2 linked regions of the Arabidopsis thaliana genome follow. The protein of the gene in region 1 interacts with the protein of each later gene in a biochemical or structural test. Each region holds a gene or a part of one and is shown on either strand. Other genes may lie near its edges.

Evidence for each region. The genes of interacting proteins can lie anywhere in the genome.
Region 2: the proteins of RIN4 (region 1) and ROC1 form a complex in vitro, tested with the Arabidopsis thaliana proteins (one study listed by BioGRID).

The regions. Positions count from the first base shown.
Region 1 is NC_003074.8:9,127,531-9,136,048, reverse strand, and holds RIN4 (RPM1 interacting protein 4), read right to left. Parts: upstream 3,912-8,518; 5' UTR 3,592-3,911; coding exon of another isoform or gene 3,586-3,591; 5' UTR 3,159-3,585; coding exon 2,697-3,158; intron 2,619-2,696; coding exon 2,436-2,618; intron 2,332-2,435; coding exon 2,302-2,331; 3' UTR 1,961-2,301; downstream 1-1,960. Other genes in the region: AT3G25060 (Tetratricopeptide repeat (TPR)-like superfamily protein), read right to left, coding at 5,728-7,533; XTH3 (xyloglucan endotransglucosylase/hydrolase 3), read right to left, coding at 7,831-8,212, 8,513-8,518.
Region 2 is NC_003075.7:18,082,682-18,088,500, forward strand, and holds ROC1 (rotamase CYP 1), read right to left. Parts: upstream 1,571-5,819; 5' UTR 1,458-1,570; coding exon 939-1,457; 3' UTR 714-938; downstream 1-713. Other genes in the region: AT4G38760 (nucleoporin (DUF3414)), read right to left, coding at 2,352-2,434, 2,574-2,781, 2,898-4,439, 4,880-5,261, 5,458-5,516, 5,623-5,730. UniProt on the Arabidopsis thaliana protein: PPIases accelerate the folding of proteins. It catalyzes the cis-trans isomerization of proline imidic peptide bonds in oligopeptides. Involved in de-etiolation.

The DNA of each region.
Region 1 (8,518 bases):
AGACATTTGATATGATACAATGGCACATATATATGAGATTCTTGATGTTTGCAATTCTCACTTGATGAGCCGGATTTTTTTTTAAAAGAAAATTTGTTTTATCATTTTTTTAAACTCAAATTAAAGAATTTTCAAAAATATTACGTTGAGACTTAAGTATGACTTTCTTTTTAACTTATGTATTTGTTTTTATTGTAATTGTCTTAATCCTATATTTATTTGTTTGTATATTTTTTGCCATTCTTTTTGTTTTTTGGTTGTATACCCGTTTCGATGCATCATAATAGCATTGCTTTACTCTTTCTATGTGTATAATTAGCATGAACCGTAATGATTTTATGAGATTAGTCTCAAATTACAAAGTGCAAAATGTGTTCGCCATTATTACTAAGGAAAAAGTTTTGAGTACTAAGAATCCAAAAGATAATCAAAATCTAATTAGCCATTTTTTTCCTCTCATCTCCTGCAAAATATTACAACCTCACAAGTTTTGATTACCGATTAAGAAATATTCTATAACAACACAATTTTGCCTTACGTTTATTTTTTTGACCAACTAGAGTTAGCTTTATTTCAAGATTGACATCAATGTATCCACCATTACCAAATTTCAATTTGTTACCATTTTTGCAAATTACCACCTTTGCCTCATAGGTTATTGTAAAGTCAATAGTAATTTTATACAATTCCGCATCTCGAGTAGAATGCTGGTACCCCCATGTAGTTTTGCATACATCAATCCGTTAACTATGTTTTGTCCAAAGCAACAATGTACACCATTCATAGCTTCCATAGTTTTGCATTCTTATCTTCCAACAACTTTTCATTCTTAGCTTTGCAGTCATTTAATGTAGTTAATTCTCGACGAACACTGCGCCACAAATACATCGGAGAAAGTGGAACAAACTCACTGTCCAATCCATGTAATACTCTAGCTGAACTAATCAAATCATTGGACACATATGTCCAACATATTAAATGGCTCATTTGGTTTCGAATCAAACCTCCAAAAATTCAATCTTATTATGTTTTCTACATCTACTATATACTTATCTAATGGGTCTTTCGTATATTGTAACAAAACCAGGTAGTCATTACAATCATATTAGGATCATATCAAATATGAATTAGGATTCAGCCCATTCACCTTCTCTTCAAAATCATCAAGCGAGATTCTGAGTGGTATGCAACGAGATTAATGTTTCAAACTAGAATCATAAGCTTTCTTCGCATGTTCCAAATCACTAAACCGTTTTTCAAGCTAACCAAGTATCAACCAAAGCTTGAAGAATGGTGGTTTAAAAATTCATTTGATTCTGGAATAAAATATAAGAGTTTAGACTTTATTCGGTTATTTTTAGATTTTTTTTTTTAATTCTTAAGACTTAGAAGATATTTTAGATTTTGACAAAAATCTCACAATACCGCCTAAAAAAACGAATGGAATGGTGATAGAGACAACCGAGATTAGTTGTTTTGAATTCGCGATGTTTTATTATTTTATTTTCGTCATTACTCCTACTATTTTAGTATATGTTACTATTTTAGACTTTTAGTTAGATTTAAATATTTAATTACTTTATTATTATTGTTAGACCATGGTATAATTATTTTTATATTTATATTTATACAAACTAATAATTTCTATAATATTAAATAAATTTTAATCAATTGATCCGTGGTCGAATCCGGTTGATCCATTGACCCCGTGACCTAAAAAGTAGTCTAGTTCACCATCCAGGTCGGGTTTAAAAAGATTGCATTTAAGTCTAATTATTGGGCATAGAGAATGCTGAAATAGTAAGTACATAAAGCTGGAGAATCAAACCTGATTACACTGTACAAAGCCATATAGGAAACAAGTGTCAATTCGTTCTTCTTTGATGTCCATATCATATGGACCATACGAGTCATCATCCTCCAAAGATCTTAATCTTGATTTTATATAAAAAGTTATGGGTCTTTCTTTATAGTGGTGCAGAGTTAAGGCTTTGAACATTAGAAACAACAAACTTGGAGGTACCCAAATATCTCTGATTCATATCAAATCAGTTACCAAATCACTCAGGCCGTACCAAGCAAGATATAATGCATCTGCAAGCAGATCCGAAACTGGAATGTGTCTTATGAAAACACCAAAAGTATTAAGGAAGAATTGCAAAATATACATACAAAAATTATACTATAAAAATCTTATGCAAGTGAGACTTATGCCTTATTTCATCTAAAGAAGCACGAATGTCTAATCATCAAGATTACACACTGATTTCTCGATAACTATATACAATCTTCCGGTCCCTTTCATTTTCCTCCAAAGCCAAAGCAGCAACACTGTCAAATTGCACAAGACAAACCAATGTTCAACACACACTCACTATTTGAATACGTATTCACTAATGATTATACTTGAAAATGAGTTTTAAAGAATGTCTTACTGAGGAAGTGTTGTTCGGGTTACGGGAGCTTTGATGAGTCGGCGTTCTTGAAGATCCACTCACATTTGCTCCAGAACTTCTCTCTTCACGGACTTTATTGAAGATATGCGTGTATCCGTCAGCTGATGACGGGTTGTTCTCGTCCCAGTCACCGAATTTAGGCACCACTGTGACTTTTTCAGGCTATATATAAACAGATGACAACACATAAGCAACAAACAGAGATATTCTCACTTTAGAGGTTAAAAGTGAGATTCTTACACTTTCATCAGCTCTAAGGTTGGTAGGTTTAGGCCTAGATTTTCCAGTACCATCATAAGAATTCTTATGCAAAGGTGACTTGTTGTCATAACTATTGTTCTGAGAAGCTCTTCCTTGTCTTTTGTTAGCAGCTTCATTTGATGAACCACCAGCATCACCAAACTGTTTCAACTCGCTCTCTTCTCGGCTTCTCATATGCTCACGTGATCTTCTAACCGTGTCAACTTGCTCAGGTTTGGTTCTGGAAGAAGGAGGATGAGGAGGAGCTTGTGATTGAGAGTCAGAGTTATACTCCGGGTCATTCGGGTTCATGATCTTGCTACCGGGTGCTCGAGTCTTACGAGCTTTGTCAAAGTAAGCTGTGTAAGGAACATTCTCCTCAGCTTCCCAGTTTCCAAATTTTGGTACATTCGAACGCTGTTGCAACAAACAATTCAACAACAATGTCCTTCCACAAAACATTCAATAACATAACATCCTAAAGAACAATCATCACAGAAACAAGATAGCAAATTCACTTAAGAATCCAAAACAGAACAAATACAAATTGGGTTTATCGATTTCGACCAAGTACAATGATAAAGTTGAAATCTTTGCTAAGCAAAAATAGAAACTTTACCATAAAAATAGTAACTTTCATAAAACCCTTTTCTTATCTAAAGCAAATCAGAATCATAAAGTTGAATACTAATAGACATCGCAATCCATAGAAATGTTATCTCAATAGGAAGAACCATAAATGCAAATAGATTAAGACTCAACTTTCTACAAATCCTCCAAAAAAAGGGTCAGAGATTGACGGAATCGAAACAAAAACTATAATCTGAGAGAAAGCTCTAGACCTAAATAAGAAGAAGAGGAGAAGGAAAGAAGGAAAGAAAACACTTACTGCCATGGGAGAGAGGTAGCTAAAGAATTGAAGTCTGAAGCTTTTGTTAGGTTTGAGAGAGAAAGACAGAGAGAGATGTGAGAAGGAGAGGAGACGAAGAAGAAGTTTTATAAAAGCGTTGACTAGTGGTGATGCTATGTATTCTTTGACCCTTCCTCTCCTCTCTCTAATCTTCTCTTCTCTCTTTGTCTCACTCCAAACTCTATTAATTTCATTTCTTAACTCTATTACTAAATTTTCATGTATTGTCAAGAGCACTCAAACGCCGTTACCGTTACCGTCACCGTTAAAGGCGGCTTTATTTTGGTGTCCATGTTACATTGTTTTCCTCTTAAAAGATTGTAATAAATATTTTTGTCCTAAAGAATTGGATATGTGGGTCGGAAGCAACTTTTGGTGGAATCTTCTGCTCTAGTAGATAAGTTTTGTGGATCTAATAATTATATGCTAATAGAATAATTTGATTATTGATAGCAACAATGTTACAATGTTATAGCAGAATTTAGTGAATTATTGATCTTGGATTTTAGCGGATTAATGAGTAGTAATAACTGAAATTTCTTTTGGTGACGATTGGTACCAATTCGTCTATAGATAGGTTACCATTTGAATCAACTACTTGCAATTTTTGTGATACAAATAGTACAATAACTATTTTTACAAATATCGCCATTTAACGCTAGTACGTATACTTTTATTATTTACACTCATAGTTTTTTTTAGAGAAAACTTAAAAGTGTTTTGTGAAGAGTACTACAAAGTGATAGTAAGTAAATAAAAAGTGTTCTACGAGTACAAGGAAAAAAAAAAGGCAGTATGAACAAAATAGTTAGAAAACTAGAAATGAGAAAGTTATCATCAAAGGTGGTTGACCACAACTACCTAATCTCTTTTTGATCTTAGTTGATGTTTAAGGTTTTAGCACACTAATCAAGAAACTAATTAAATGATCAATTGTTTCTTGGTTTTCACATTAAAACATCATTTATAAAACTCAACAAAATTATTCAACCAATAACAAAAGAAAGAATTGAAAATGTTTATGAGAAATTGAGAATATTAACTTCTGAAAAGAAAAAGAAAATAATCATATGGAGACTTTTTGTGTTAGCAAAGTCAAAGCTGCCTCTTTACACTGAAAGACCCTTTTGAGAATTTACGTACCTCTTTCTTCCAAGAACAAATAACATGTCTCGTAGCATCTATTATCGAATCACCAATGACAATAAGATGTTCACTAAAAACCATAATTGGAACATTATTTTAGTAATTTTTTACTAGACAAAGTTGAAAAATGGAAAGTATTCAGCGTTGTTCACATCAATTTATTTGTGGTTGCCGTAGCGATAATTATTCAATGCTCCCGTACTCATACACACGTGAACTATATAGTCCACACGTACAAGTGTTTTCACATGGTTAATGCCTTAATGGGAATATTTTAGAGATTGTTCACGAAAAAATAAGAAAGATCAAATCAAAGAAGACAGATCGTTCAGCTTCATCAGTTTCTCAACGTGAGTGTGTCTTTTTATTTTTTGTAGTCAAGTGATATGGTTAGTTAAGACTAAAGACAACTAAGAGATCGTGTGCATTCTTAATTCTTTTGGTGTTATTTAGTTTTGGAGCGTTACTCTATTTTTGGGACATACAACAATCCACCCCAAATCAAGTTTATTTTATATAAATTGGTCCACGACGGATTTCTTCTATTTGTCTCAATCCATACTCTTACGGACTATAATATATAAAATGGTTCAATCCGCAAACGAATTTGTCCGCCACAACCATACAAACCAGTGTCACAAAGCCACAAAGGTAAGGGTTTCTCAATACATTATTTAAGGGGTTTATCACTCTCTTAGTCTCTTTAATAAGTCTCAATTCTTAAGTCTCTTTCACATTTGTCAATTAACTTGAATTTGCACTTTGGTACTCTGCTTTTCTCAAAGGGACCAAGAACCTCTTGGTATTTTCTTCTCACTAAAATTGAAATTGACCCGGTTTGGTTTTCTTGTTCAACGCGTGGAATGTATTGTTAGAGTTTTTGACTAAAACCTCACTCCAAAATAGGGCCACATGAGTCAGAAATGGATGTATATATACATACTGAAATAAGAATGGATGCTCATAGAGACAGAACTATTCGACTCCGGAACATACATCTCTTATCTCAGTTTTCAAGTTCCTCAACACTTGCAACATGTGATAATGTTCATGGTGACTCAGATCTTCCATGAGAAAAGTTCGAAGCTCCCCATTTACTTCGATCGCGCTGTAGCCTGGTACCTTCTCCATGGCCCCATTTCTCATCAACTTCCTCACTTTGGCCACTTCTTTCCACTTATTGGCAGTTGCAAAGAAGTTAGAAACCAGTGTTTGGATCCCAATACTATCCGGATTCAACTGGAGAATCTTATTAGCCGCAATGTCCCCGACTGATAGATTCCTGTGATTAATGCATCCTGAAAGAAGAGCAACCCATATTGGTAAAGCATTGTCAAGTTTCTCAGAGTTTATCATATCAAGAGCTTCTTCGACTCTCCCTGCACGTGCAAGAAGATCAATCAAACAAACGTAATGCTTTTCACTCGGTTGGATCTTATATTTGTTTATCATGACGCTGAACCAATGTTGGCCTTGTTCTACGAGACCCGAGTGGCTAAGAGCAGAGAGAAGTGATGCAAACGTGGCGTGGTCGGGTTCTATGTTTGATTCCGTCATTTTGAGAAACAACGATACAACTTCTTGACCGTTTCCATGAATTCCATAACAAGATATCATTGTGTTCCAACAAACCAAGTCTTTCCTTCCTACATGTTCAAAGATTTCTCTTGAACTTGAAAGAGCGCCACATTTTGAGTACATGTCCATCAAAGCAGTTGCGGTTACTCGATCAAGAACGTGCCTTTTCAAAATATAACAATGTACTAATCTACCAGTCTTTAATGACCCGACTTGCGAACACGCCACAAGTACTCCAACAAGCGTCACTAAATCCGGTTGAAACCCAAGGCTCTGCATTTCCACAACAGCTTCAAATGCTTTATTAGCTAATCCATTTTGAGCAAATCCAGAGATCAACGACCCCCACGAAACTGCGGTTTTAAACATCATCCTACTAAACACCCTAGAAGCAACCTCTATAAACCCAACTTTTGCATACATATCAACCAGGCTGGTTTCAACCACTACATTCATAGGAAGACCTGTTCTATACAAATACCCGTGAACCGAACGGCCCATTTTCGTATCCCCGAGATCACCAGAAGCTTGTAAGAGACCCAACATCACAACCCTATCCCTACCAAACCCTTCATTCTGCATTTCTCTGTAAAACTCAACAGCCTTCAACGACTTACCAGCCTGTGCAAACCCTGTCACCATTGTTGTCCAGCAAATAACATCTCTTTTCGCCATCTTTCCAAACAAAACCTCTGCTTCATCCATTTTCCCACACTTCATATACAGATTCAAGACAGATGAACAAACAAAGACATCATTTTTATACCCAAAGTCCACTGCTTTACACCACACAGCCTCTCCTTTCTCTAAAACCAAACCACTTAAGCACGCTTTGATCGTCATAGTGAACGTTGAGCTATCTGGTTGAATTTTTTCAGCTATCATCTGATCATAAAGTCGCAAAACCTCATCTGGATTTTTTCCACGAGAATAAACCACAATCATGGAATTATAAACAGAAACACCCCTCTGCGGCAATTCGTCGAACACCTTACGTGCATAAGAGATCTCACCGATTCGTCCACATGAAGCGATGAGATCTCGACTAATAGAGCTTCCATTAAGTAAATTACCAGTACTGATTACAAAAGCGTGGATCTGAGTGATGTGCCGCTTGAGTTTAGAAATGGATTGCAGAAATTTGATGCGTTTCGGACACAGGAGAGTCCGATGTAACATGCAGAAATGTTTTGTCTGTACCATGATGTTTTAATTCTTAGAGCTAACTTCTTCAAAAACCAATTTGATTTGGCAAACTGGAACCTACCGTCCGGGTAAGGCACTTAAACGAGAACCGAAAAATTAACTAGTTAAGAAACATATCTTATTTATCTTCTGCAATCATATAAAAACATTTTGAGCATACACAATTATATTTTCACTATAACTTAACTCTCTTCTCTTGTAACTCGTAAGCAGTAATTTTTTTGTTTCTTAATTAGAAAAAGTAGATTTAAAAATCCCCTATACGTATATGATAATTAACGTATATATGTTACTTCAATAACATTCTCTAGGAGGAGTTTGGTACTTAGAGCGATCAGTACAATAGTCATAGTTCATGTACTTGCTCCTCACATGTTCATAAAGTTTCTGTTCGTTTCCGCTTAATCTTTGATAGTTGCCTGCATTCCACCAGTAGTTGGAGGATTCACAAGCGCCGACATTATTACTCCGACCATCTATGTTGCAGCCGGATAAGGCGAAGTCTCGGAAATGTGCAATGAAAGGAGAGTATGACCAGTTAACCTTAGTCCGACCACCATCAGTCGCCCAATCGTCACCGTTCCAGAGACTAGCCTCGACTTGCATAGGCTTTGATGGATAACTTACGCCGTTTTCGTTTTTGTATACTCTTATTGGGATGTTGTCCACGTAAAACCTATCAATCATCATCATCATCATTTACCTCCCTTGATTATGATATACTTAAAATCAAATATTTTCTCCATTTCAAATTAGATGCTTTTTTAGTTGAATATATATAAATATATCTAAAAATTTCCTAAAATGATGACTAAAATGTACGTCACCCATATCAAATTGTGAAATGTTTTGGAATTCTAGTTTGTTTCAAAATATCTAATTCTTGCATGCATATTACATACACACTATCGCTATTTGTCGTCATGAAATGAATAGAGAAGATAAAAAATAAGAAGAAGGAGTGTGATTAACGTACACAATT
Region 2 (5,819 bases), on another chromosome or scaffold:
CCGCTTCTTCATTTCTGTTGTTAATCAAATCTTTAATCCTTGTTTATTTATAGTTGTAAGATGAGTTTTTTATATTCTACGAAAACTGAGTACACAAACGTGAAATCTTCCAAAAAATGAAATTTGTGTTAGCAAGCAAATAAATCACAGCAGCTATACTATTTTCATTTTTGGCTTTCACACGTATTGGCTTCCCTCACAATTATTTTATTCTGAAATCGTAATTAAAGGCATATGCGTCCCTGCTGGCTGCATATAAATATGAGATTCAGTCTTCTCTGAAACATTTATTTGATTTGGTAATTGGTATGTCATCAATCATTCATCACAGTCTCCAGAAAAATCGTGTGGATTTTAAAACTGGTTTGGGGCCTGATTTGATGGGCCGGCCTTCAGGTGGAAAATTTTCGTTTTCATATAATAGTGAGTACGAAGGCAATTATATTTGAAGGCCCACTAAAGTTGATCTTATCGACAAACCCGTGATTTAAACAAAAAAATAGGCCCACTGGTATTGTTTATTATTATTGCCATTAATTGGGTTTTCTAATTTGCTTCTCTGCAGAATCACGTGTGTTACTTTTTTAGACCAAGACCTTGTGGTGGTGTAGCCCCTCTGCGTCAACGTGGATCATAACGTCGTCCACCATTAATTAGATAGGTGAACAAAAACTCGACCAAGTATTTTTATCTGTTCCAACGGAAATGCAGATAACAAAGATGAAATTTGGTAACGTAAATTAGATATGATAAAAGAGTGCTCATTCCTTATTTCTGGTAGTTAATATTAAAGGGGCAAGTTTATATATGTTCCCATGAGAACACACACCAAACTTATGACTACAAATTTTAAAAAGACTCCATAACAAAAGCAAAAGCATAAAGAGACACCACAATGACGACGATGATGCTAAATTAAGGATGATGATAGGAAGATCCTAAGAGAGCTGACCACAATCGGCAACAACCACAGGCTTCGTCGGCTTTCCAGATGATGATCCAACCTTCTCGATGGCCTTTACCACGTCTAAGCCTTCCACGACCTGCCCAAACACCACGTGCTTCCCATCAAGCCAATCGGTCTTCACGGTGCAGATGAAGAACTGAGATCCGTTCGTGTTTGCACCGGCGTTCGCCATCGACAGGATCCCCGGTCCGGTGTGCTTCCTCTCGAAATTCTCGTCCTCGAACTTGCTCCCGTAGATCGACTCACCGCCTGTTCCGTTCCCGGCGGTGAAATCTCCTCCCTGGCACATGAAGTTAGGGATCACACGGTGAAACTTAGATCCCTTGAAGTGAAGGGGTTTTCCGGTACCGCCAACACCTTTCTCTCCGGTGCAGAGAGCTCTGAAATTCTCGGCAGTCCTGGGAGTCTTATCGGTGTACAGCTCCATCACGATCCTTCCCGCGGGCTGGCCGTCGATGGTCATGTCGAAGTATACCTTAGGGAACGCCATTCTTGTTGTTTGAAACGTGAGATCTCTATCAGACTGAAGAAGAGGTTTGTTGTGGATGATGAATAGAGGATTTATCGGTGAGGTTATCGATTTATAGCCGGCCAAGGGGAAGCGGCGAATATCTCACAGATAAACAAGATTATTACATGTGGGAAAATCTCAACGGCTTTAAGATCTTAACCGTGGTTAGGTTAAGAGTTTGACCACCGGTTAAGTAGGGGTCAGTCAGTCAGTGCGTTGGAGTATCTCAGACTTGGCATATGCCCCTCCTGGAGCAACGTGCCACACGTGTCCCACAATTTCTAAACAACTTGCTAAAAACAACGTCTTTTAATCTTAAAAATTAATTTTATTTACTGTCAGTTCAAATTCAAAAAAATTGAACCGTTAAACTTTAGTAGTAACGCATACTATATGCATGACTTTCAATTAACACTATCAATGCTTTGCGCAATAGTCCACCCCTCATAAATGTTAGCTGTAATGAGTGGTTTTCTTTTTAGGGTTAAATTTTTCCTCATAGTAAGTAAACGTGTTCAAGAGTAGAGGGAATTCAAAAATCAGAATAATCTAGAATAAGTGATTATCAAAAGTTAGTTGAGTGAGAATTATTCGGAACTGCACTTTCTGCGGCCTAGAGTCAGAGAGAGAACCAATCAAAAGAATTTGTTGAGAGGTAAGCAATTTAAAAAAATGAAAGCAACGAGCGGCCCAAAAGGAGTGGACAGCATGAGCCGAACATTTTTTTAAAGCTATGATATGAAATAAAGAGAATAATACTATTATATGACTAACATATACCAATGGTACAATAGCCGGTTTAATCACTCATCAAGGAAGGAATCTAATACATACGTACCACATTCAAGCATGGTCCTCATGTTTGTTTTGTTTCTAAAGTGATCCAGGATACAGAAACGCAGCTATTTTCTTCAGTGAATCTATGGACGGTTCTAAGTAGGTATGCACCTCAGCAGCTGATCGAGACAAAACAAAAGAAGCAGCAATGTTACGAAACCGTTTTCACTTTTTCCTTGCAACTAAATCGTATTTTAAAAAAGGCACCAAATCCCAAAATAGTCTTGTCAATATTACTATGGAAGAAACACTTGTTACCTTTCACTAGTTTTTTCAAGTCTTTGGAGAAGTTATCCACACGCCCAAATACAGGATGGATCCTGCAAACCTGAACTACACAGAGTTCCAAGTATAACGACATCTCTGTCGTTTGGATCAGCATAAGGCACAACTTCTTTACTTCATCTGGAATCTCTTTGGATTTGTAATTATCACATAGCTCAGCGACTATCGCCGTCGCTTGGTCCTGCATTTTAATATACACATTGTAGTACCAAGCAAAGAGAGGATGATTAAAAAAAAAAAAAAAAAAAAAAAAAAAAATAGAAACCAGTAACCGTTCTTGGTCTCGAATTAACGTACCTGTAGACCATGTAAAATCTCCGGCTCTGGAAGCTCAGGGAAATGAGCAATATCGACATATCCCACTTCCTCTGCCCTCGTAACAACACCCTCTGCTTGTAAGCACAGAAATTTCAACAATAGAGAAGCCACTCTATATATCTGTATCGCAACTGAGTCTGAAAATTGCGATTGAGGAACAGACCCAGGATGTTCTGTTGTGTCTCCCCTAACAACTAGAGCAGTCGAGATAGATACTGCAGTGATCTTGGGTTTCCCAACACAAACTAAAGGTGCTAGCGAAAACCATCCGTGTTTGGTATTGATGAAAGACGGTCTTTTGCAGGAATCAAACTCTTCTTTCGCTACTGGAGGGCATAACAGATGAGATATGTGGCTCTGAGACTCTCTAAGCCGTTGAGCGCCTTTGCTGATAAAGGCCAAGAGATGTATTGTCATTTCTCTTAATGGAGAATCCATATCCTTCATAATTTTAACCCATGATCTCCAATGGCTAGCTAATGCACACAGCAGAAGGAGAGTATGCTCGGTTACTCTCAGATAAGCAAGGGAAGTCCACGTCCGTTGACTTCGTAGCCTCACTTTGTCACGATCATCAGAAGGGAAATCTGGTGCAGCGAGATAGTATGAGATCATGTAACCTTTCTCCAAGAAAAAGTAAGATATGACACTCTCCACAATATCAGCCCCTGCAGAAACAGATCCTAGAGAATGAACCATGGCAGTAACCACAGCCAAACCGATTCCCCAGATATGCTGAGTTTTTTCTGTCTTTTCTAGCAGCGAGCCCTTTTCATTGTCAGATACCAAAGTAGACATTCCATCCGGAAACTCCATTAACAAAGCTCTTAAAGTCGAGAAAAATCCAGAATTTAGAAGCATCTGAGCACCGCCATGAACTTGAGCAATAGTTAAGAAAAATTTTAGTATTGCTGAAACGGATGTTGTGGATTTCTTATCCTGAAGCTGTAGAATAACATGCTGCAAGCGGAGTTGACTCTGTATAATAGGGAACCATGTCTCTGGCGTCAAAAAATTCCTGAGAATCAAGTCTACTGTGGTCAGGCAGAGAGTCAAGTACTCGGGATTCCCCATGAAGTTGCAGAGAAGGGGTAATAATCCAATTGTAGCATCAGATATTTCTGCAAAATCTTTGGCTAGCACCATATGTCCCATCCCACTCGAGTTTGAGTTGTCTGAACCAAAACCCACAACCAGGAGCAGCACCTCAAGCAGGAGGTTTATCGTCTTCTTCAATATAGCATTTGAATGCCTCAAACTACCAAGGATCTTGAGGCCAGGCCCAACATTTCTCAGGACAAGTGCACATACAGATAATGAAAGATTTTTCTTTGCGGATTTCAATAGGCGGGATAGCAAGTCTGCCTGTGCTGTAAGAATATCAAACACAATCTTGGGTGCATCCCAGAGAGAGGCAAGTGAATCAACCGTGGTGCAAAATTTTCGGCATACTTTATCAATGCTTAAAAGAGTGACTCGAGAAGGGATTTTCCTTTCCGCAGCTGCACTTTCTTCAAGAGACTGCACATAAGGTGTAGCATTTAGATGTACCGAAATCTTAAATTAAGATCCCAAAAGTGGGACATACAACATTTCTACCGTCTATATTGGAGTACATAGGCCAGTTTAGATTAATTCTATTTGTTCGGTTTAGTATTGGTTAGATCTTATACCACACTTGTATATAACAGAGTAATTGTACAGTGTAATCATTAGAACTTTCTCATTCATCTTAATGATTACACTGTACAATTACTCTGTTATATACAAGTGTGGTATAAGATCTAACCAATACTAAACCGAACAAATAGAATTAATCTAAACCGGCCTATGTACTCCAATAGTCTAGTATGTTTGAGTCAGCTATTAGCTAAAACGTTAAATGAGGAAAAACAATCTAGCCCATAAATGTATTATGATGGGATAAACTCAGAAAAGCTAATTAAAACAGAGAAACTTACATTATCCTCATAAAGTATCAAGACGGAAATCAATGCATGCAAAACAGAGAGCTGCGAAGTTGAGAGTAAAACCATCGAGTTTGCTCTCTGCATGTAGTTCAACATTTCCTCTGCCGTTGTTTTAGATGTCTTCCACTCAGAGAAATCCCAAATATCAATACCTAATTCAGTCTGTATTTGCTGAGTGTCAAACAAACAGTCCCCCAAAGCCATATTTACATCCTTATTAGTTTTCTGTTTATATTTCTCCCAAAAGCTCGTCTCCACTAGAAACTGGAAAAGCTCTTTGAAAGGACCAGTTGGGATATCACGACCCTCAAGTTTTCCTTGAAGATGACAGTATAGATCGCTGAAAATCATAGGCATCAACTCCTTTCCTCCACTAGAAATAGAACCCAATAGATTGTAAGCAAAATGTGAAACAGTGGTAAACCTTTTGAATAACATGAGAACGAATAATTAAAGATTAAGGAGAAGCACTGCCGACTGTAGATTTAAGAAAGATAAATGTGCTACTGAATTTGAAAATTAGCAAAGAAATGCTGGAAAAGCAAAAATGTAAGAAATAATGGTCTTACCTATAACCAAGTTTTGAATATTGCGCCAACAACTCAGAAAAAGCAGGTTGAGCACAAAGCTGTCAGCATATTGTTAAACAAGCAACAGATTCAGATATGACAAGGCCTTGAAAGGTGTATTGAAAAGACCAAAGATATAGATCGATCCAAAAGAGAGGAACTTACAGTTTCTGATATGAGTTTGATCTTCTCAACTAAAACCATAGACAATGCTCCTGCGCCAGATGTTTCCAGTTTCACAATCAAATGCACAATAAGTAAAACGGCAGCAACCTATCAATGCAGAAAATGAGAAACATTTAAAACTTCTAATTACTATTTCTGAAATATGGAGGCACCTAAGCAAAAGGTGTAAAGCGTGG